Linked DNA regions of Nothobranchius furzeri. The protein of the gene in region 1 interacts with the protein of each later gene in a pairwise test. Links are inferred from orthologs where the notes say so. Each region holds a gene or a part of one and is shown on either strand. Other genes may lie near its edges.

Evidence for each region.
Region 2: the proteins of psme3 (region 1) and prr13 interact in binary tests that used the Homo sapiens proteins (3 or more experiments, as listed by UniProt). The two-hybrid records come from large-scale screens. The link is inferred for Nothobranchius furzeri from reciprocal best matches to the Homo sapiens genes PSME3 and PRR13.

Annotation. Positions count from the first base shown.
Region 1 is NC_091756.1:48,472,630-48,475,641, reverse strand, and holds the end of psme3 (proteasome activator complex subunit 3), read left to right. Parts: intron 1-35; coding exon 36-154; intron 155-874; coding exon 875-1,011; intron 1,012-1,116; coding exon 1,117-1,171; intron 1,172-1,970; coding exon 1,971-2,057; intron 2,058-2,131; coding exon 2,132-2,212; 3' UTR 2,213-2,506; downstream 2,507-3,012. UniProt on the Homo sapiens protein: Subunit of the 11S REG-gamma (also called PA28-gamma) proteasome regulator, a doughnut-shaped homoheptamer which associates with the proteasome. 11S REG-gamma activates the trypsin-like catalytic subunit of the proteasome but inhibits the chymotrypsin-like and postglutamyl-preferring (PGPH) subunits.
Region 2 is NC_091743.1:62,074,281-62,078,584, reverse strand, and holds prr13 (proline-rich protein 13), read right to left. Parts: upstream 2,801-4,304; 5' UTR 2,667-2,800; intron 2,222-2,666; 5' UTR 2,173-2,221; coding exon 2,157-2,172; intron 2,040-2,156; coding exon 1,606-2,039; intron 655-1,605; coding exon 616-654; 3' UTR 263-615; downstream 1-262. Other genes in the region: cell division cycle-associated protein 7, read left to right, coding at 3,134-3,232, 3,408-3,764, 4,139-4,231. UniProt on the Homo sapiens protein: Negatively regulates TSP1 expression at the level of transcription. This down-regulation was shown to reduce taxane-induced apoptosis.

The DNA of each region.
Region 1 (3,012 bases):
GTCTGAGGCCTAACAGTTATTTAATTATCTTCCAGTGACGGGCACAAAGGTCTTCGTCATGCCTGGTGGGATGATGAAGTGCAACACAAACCTTGTGGAGCTTATTGAAAAGGTCAAGCCAGAGATCAGGACACTCATAGAGAAATGTAACACAGTAAGTCATCCGTGTCTGTCTCTTTCAATGTGTGTCCTTAAATGTCAACCTTACTGGAAAAACATTTTTTAATGATAATTCTTATTATAATTGGTCACTCTGAGATTTTTATGCAGGCGAAACATGAAAATGGTCTCCTACACCTATCTCCTGCATTAGCTTCTGATAGAAAATAGACGGTGAAACTCTAGGATTAGAAAATCCTGACAGATCTACGTCACCCTGTCACTTAACATTCATGGACTCACGACGGGGAAGGCTGTTGTTTTAGAGTCCAGGAAAGGGCAGAGAATGGCTTCGCTAGTAGAAGCTAACTGTTAGCATTAGTAACTCCACCACATTCCAGAACTCCTCCAGGCTTGTGTTATTTGTGGAGATGAAACATCAGTGTTGCTAAACAGAGTCACTGGTAGAATCGCATTGCTGTTAGCCAAAGAGATACGAGATGTCCAAGTATTTGGAAAAAAGACTCCAAATCCTGCTGTGTTCAGCTCCGCTTTGATCTGGCTCACTTCTAGATCCTGAAACAGGCACACTGGAGCTTTTTTTTCTTCAGAGCACAATTTACAAGGCATTCCTGCCTACTAGAGACCACCGCAGATGTATTAAAATATGAGTTAAGTTGATCATTTGTATATGTGTTGGTTTTACATCCTGACTAGCCACACCTCACGTATCACTGATGCTTTGTCACTCAAATTGTTTCTTTTTTCCCCGCAGGTTAAAATGTGGGTTCAGCTCCTCATCCCCAGGATAGAGGATGGCAACAACTTTGGCGTTTCAATCCAGGAGGAGACGGTAGCTGAACTCAGAACAGTCGAAGGAGAGGCTGCGTCTTACCTCGATCAGATTTCAAGGTCTGCAGAGGCTCCAAACATATGGATTTATTTCTAAACAAAGCAAAATGGTGTTGTGTATTTTTACAGTGTCCAAACGTTGTTTGATTCCTCTTTTAATCCTAGATACTACATCACAAGGGCAAAGCTGGTTTCTAAAATAGCCAAATATCCACATGTGGTAAGTAGTTATCTTAGAATGGATTCAGTTTTATTCCAAGTATTGGAAATAGAATTAATGCTAGAATGTTTAAATGTCCTAAACATTTCTCACATCATTTACGTGATTTTGGGTCCATGTCTGACTGTCGTTGAAGGCTTGATGTGATTTAAGCATTTTTTAGTCAAACTGCTGCGCCTTTCCTAACAAAGTGGTTCAAATTAGTTATGTGCCTTTGGACCACCTATAAGGTAGTTAATGTATTAAATATGTTTACCTCAGTGGTGTTGTGTGTTGCTGAAGTAAGTGCAACTCATAAAGGTTATTTTTGTGTGAAATTATTATCGTTATTAATTAAACCCTTTAGATAGCTTTCAGAACAATCTTATTGCTAAACAGGCTATATGACTAATAAGGTTTATGCCAATAGTCCTAAAACTACTCATGTTACAGCAGTTCATGCAAATGTTATTTTACTAATTCCCATACTGTCATCTGTTTTGGGCTACTTTGTTATTTTGGCATTAATTAAAAAATATCCGCCAGACCCAACCCCGTGTGTGCTGGAAGTGCTACATTTAATGCTGATTTAACAGCAATGTTTATAAATGATGTGAAAATTACAAGATTGAGAATAACCTGAAAGTCTGCTTATCTTGTTCCAAGATGCTTACGTGTGTGCAACATGTTTTCTTTCCAAGCTGTTTTTGGGATGAATGAAAAATTTGGCTATTTATACTTTTCATATTTACATATCAAGATTTCTGACCATTATCTATCTTTCATTGTGTTTACAAACCGTTTTTCTCCTTGTAATCAGGAGGACTATCGGCGCACGGTAACAGAAATTGACGAGAAGGAGTACATCAGTCTGAAGATCATAGTTTCGGAGCTCAGAAACCAATATGTGCGTTGTCTTCAATAACAGTCTAGTCATCGTGTATCTTTGTTGTCCTTAAACCTGCTTTTTCTCTCATGAAGGTAACGTTACACGACATGATACTGAAGAACATTGAGAAGATCAAGAGGCCTCGAAGCAGTAATACTGATGCATTGTACTGATGTCGGTCTCTCCTTCCCTGTCATCTCCCTGCTCTTACATGCTGGCAGCAGCCTCACCCCCATCTGCAGGAAAACTAGACATTCACACACTTCAACACACTTCAACACAGTCGACTCAGCCCAGTATGAAAACATAGCTTCATAGATGGACACCTTTTTGTTTTAATTGTAAATGTGTTTTTGTTTTAATTCCTTCAAAAACGTTAAAGTTCTCTCAGAAAATGGGACAGTAAACTATAGGCAACATAAAGCACGATGTATTTTTTAATTTTAATTAAACATCTTGTCTCCAGATCCTTTGTGACATTTCTTCTTTTGTAGCTGATATTTTGTGGAATATGAATTGGTCTCATTGAACCTTTTCTGGATCTGGATGATGCTGGTAAGTTTGACATGAAATTACCGGTAAACAAAAACCTGTTGTTCTCTGAATGTTGTACATTATTACATTGTGTAGGTGTCAGGTCAGACGTTTTAGATTTGTGGGCTTAACGGTTTTCAGTGAAAATGCATAAGTCAGCATTGGTTCTATTGAATAAAACCATTTTTGATACAACGGTTTTTATCTGTTGCTTACCAGACAGACATCTGATCATAGGATGACAAGTAGTTATAATAAATTATTTTTACTAATTATACAGCCACCTATCAGAGGGTTATAGCTCCGCCTCTTCCTGGACTACATCACATTTGTAAAACTAACCTTTATCTTTCATTTTTTTCTACAAGAATATGGTTCACACAGTCATGTTTTCCCCCCACAAACACGGGATGTTTGAATGCCTTTAGTTGTGTGTGAG
Region 2 (4,304 bases), on another chromosome or scaffold:
TTGAAGAAGTTTATTAAAAAAAAATATTAAAACTATTAGAATGATTTAAAATGCCTCAACAGAAAGAAAATGTTAGGAGTCTCTTACAGCTTACTTGATTAGATTAGTTTTCAACAATGTGTTAAATATTTTCAAATTGTGATAATTGTAGCATAAATAGAAATAAATGTTTATATTTATATACGTATTAAAGAGTCTCACTACAATTTGATGTTGACTTATTTTTTTCTAATCCTTTAAAAAACAATGGATGCGAGAAAGATAAAACACAGTATTGCCTTTATTTGGATTCACTTTATTGCACAGGTTAAAAGATTTTCTACTTTTATCAGTACATTTTAGAGTATTTGCATAGAACAGTTTCAGAGCAAAGCAGAATAACTGTTTTGCAGACACATTTAGTTGTAAGCACAAAGTTAAGACATTTAGAGAATAAAATAGGATCACATACATCACTCCTGTGAAATAAACTGAGAAAAGAAATGTTGCAAAACAGAATAACTACAAACTGAGGCTTTTTAGTGTCATAAATAAAGCTTAAAATACTGCAACTAAAAGTGACAAGGTATTTTAAGCATTTTGCATTCTGCAGGGTGTTGTTGAGCCAAAAGGGTCTCAGTCAGAATCACTGCTGCCACTGCTGCTGCTGGATGACTGTAAAGTAAACAAATATTTTGATAACTTTAGTACAATCAATTTAATAAACTGAATAATTGAATATCAAATTTTATAATACATAAATGCAGTAATTATAATAAAAATAGTTTGAGATGAGGAGGATAACCTTTACTGCAGGATAACAATAGAAATTTATACAATCAACACTATTGTACCATAATTCACATGTGACAAATCAAAGATCCAACACCATTTTTAATATTTCTACTAAATCTTCCAAAAAGCACAAAATGATTCATTTCAAACTTAAGTCAAGTTCCATTTTCTAAATGTATTACCTTGCTAAGTGACTATGTAATCTGATTATAGAAACCTGAGAGAATGCAAACTGTTCAAGATTATTTAAACACAGGGTCAAGACAAACAGCTGTCAAAAATAAAGTCATCCATCTTTTTATGCATTTGCGGAAATCTTCACACCCTTCACTTTTACTACACACATAGCTTCTACACTGAACTCATAAATCCCTTCAGAAAAATTGTGTACCGTTGTTTATGCAACAGTATGAACACCTAGATAAGTTCCCTTACTTGCAGTATTAGGAAATGTAAAGAATACAAATAATGCATGACATGATTTGCTGTACTGCTTATGTATTTGTTTTTTATGATAGTTCTGTGCAAAAAACTACAAATCTGTCATGCCTAATTTAAGCTGGTATATCTTCATAACTGTCCAGCAACTAGCACTTGTTTATTTGACTGCTTGCTGTTGTATAGTTTCAGTTTTGACTCTCTTCATCTCATTGTTCCGTTGATCTAGAAATACATATTCTTTCATTCCCTGTTTAATGACAATGTGTATTTCCTGAACTGACTGATCTAAAGAAGAGGACCTGGGCAGGTTCATTTGTTTCTGTATTAGTATTTCAGCAGCAGGAGGGATCATTTTCATTTTTTATATTCTTACTTAAAATCTGAACACACCTTGCCATGTTTGTGGTGTCCATGCTTGTGAGCTTTCTTCAGCTTCTTCATCTTCTTATGAGCTTTGTGTTCACCCAATGCCATTCCAAGCCCCATTCCTCCAGCTAAACCTCCAGCCAAGGGAAGCAACCCACCATGATGATCTTTGTGCTGGCCTTTGTGGTGACCTTTGTTGTGACCCCCTTTGGGTGAATGTGGATAAGGACCAGGATAAACACCTCCAGGGGGGGCCACTGGATATACACCTGGAGTCATAGGATAAGTATTGGGTACAGGAGTTACATAGGCCACCCCCCCTGGAGTTGCATATGGCCCCACAGCTGGGTAGTACACAGAATTTGGTGCCGGTAGGACAGTCCCTGGTGGAGGAACAGCCGGGTTTATGGAATTGTAAGGGGGAGGGAAGGCAGGGTTGTGTTGGACAGGAGGAGGGCCTGAAACAAAAAGCACAAGATCACAACTCATGCCTGAGATCAGAAAGGGTGTGAAGCAAAGAGAATCCAAATGCAAAATAAAAATATGAGTGTTACTTGCGAAATCTGATATCTTACCTTGATTTGGCCACATAGTTTCAGTTTATTTGATCAGAAAATGAAATCAGGTTTCACACAAAGTTCTACAGAAACAAACAGATTATATAGTTGATTCATTTAATTAGTTTTTAAACATGTCTTTAAAAAAACTAAACACAAAACTATACGTGCTTATTTTTCAAACTACTTAAAGAAAAAAAATTGTTTAATAATAATGATTAGAATAAGAACACCAGCAAAGTAAGATTTCAAGGTGAAAGTAATAGAAAGAAAACAGCCTCGCTTTTTATGTAGGACTGCTGTAGCGATATAAAGAAATGTACCTGCGCAAGCTGAAAACCGAGAACACGTCAAATAACCTACACCTTAGGGTAGGTTAGGGATTATGTTCAACTGAACAGATACATAATTAACAAAATGCCATCGATCTGACTCATGAGACAAAGTAAATAATGTTTTGTCAAGTAAACAAACTGTTCTTGTATCTTTACTATACTAGTAATACCTAAGTATACGTAGAGATCTTACCTCTGCTGTTGCTGAGTATGGAACTTGAAGTTTCGTGTTTGACTTCCGCATTTTATGTTGGGGCCACAGACCTGAATATGTAGGGCGCTGCAGAGCGTAAGCGTCACCACGTAAGCGTCACCGCCATATTGGATGGGTCTCCTCATCAATGCGAAGTGGTAACATCCGTTTTTGTGTAGCCTACAAACACCGTGCGGGCGGTGTTAAATGTGACTCCTCACACACGACGTACCGCCTCCCTTCGTGCAGCCCGAACCATCAAAGCACACTCACCTACATTTCTGTCTGACATAAAGAGTGAAGTAACCTGCGCCGCACGTGAGGGGAAATCCTGGCTGAGCTAAAAGTTTGCGTTGGTAGAGTGATGAATAAAGTGGTAAAATAAGTACATTTTCTTGCGCTATAAGTTACTGTTTGAACATAAATGCCTCTGAAGATAATTCACTCGTTTATTCACAGGTGTTGGAATGAACTCTGACATGAGGAAATTAGCTGACTTGTTTACGGAGGATTCAGAAAATGATGCGACATTTTATGGCTTTTCTGACTCTGAATTCGTAGATACGGTACGTTTTTATTTTTTAACAAATATTTTAGATTAGTCATGTCGACATGTGTGATGTATGGCAGAGAACGGCTGCCCTTTTAATTGTTTTACAGTATTTCAACAAGAATTTTAACTTTTTTTCTGTTAAGCTACTAGAAATTTTCTCAACAAGTAATTTTTACATTTCCAAACAGCGTTTGGATTATGACGATGAAGTCCAGCTTGACATGTCCCCCAAGGAACAGCAGAAAACCACATCTGCAGGCCTTCCACCTTTCAGACTGAGGGTTGCATTACGCTGTGTGCCTTCCATCCAGCTGTCCACAGGTCATGATGCAGAAGACAGTGAGAAAATAACAACTAGAAGAGGAGTGAAGAGGCTGAGAAACACCAGTAAAACTAAAAAGGACAGAGCTGTAAAACGTGAAGAAGAGGAGTCAACAGTTGGCCATCCTTCTCTGTCTGAGGAGCGTGGATCTGATTCAGACGAAGATGTTTTTGATAATTTTCTGTTAAAGAGAGAGCAGAACATCAAGGCTAACAAAGCAATGGTGACTCAGAAACATTTAAATTTTAGTTGGAAGTCAGTAATTAGAAATCTGTAATTTGAAAAACACTGCATTTAAACCCAATAATGGTCAATTAGTGCTTAAAACTTTAACAGATACCACATTCTCAACAGCTCAAAACCTCTATTAGAGGAGCCAATAAAGAGGATAACTGATTTTTTTGTTATTTGATCCTGATACTGGGGTCCAGAAACCTAATTTGATATATTTTGCTGGCAAGTCATTCTGATCAAGCAAGTAAAACAATAATAATGCATATAAAATACTTAGATTTTTAAGGCTGTAACTCTGGCATGTTATTTATATTACACTGCTGATTTTCAAAAGGGAATTTTTTTGAATTATTATTTTTACAGTTGGCTCAGCTGATGGCAGATCTGCAGAAAATTCCAGAAGGTGCAGGGATTTTCAAAAGATCAGGCAAACGGAAGGCAAAAGTAAGACACTCTGTGAGTGCACTGAAAAAAGGCAAATTTGTTAAACATCACTAGTCTTAGCTAATTTTCAAAACCCAGCATACCT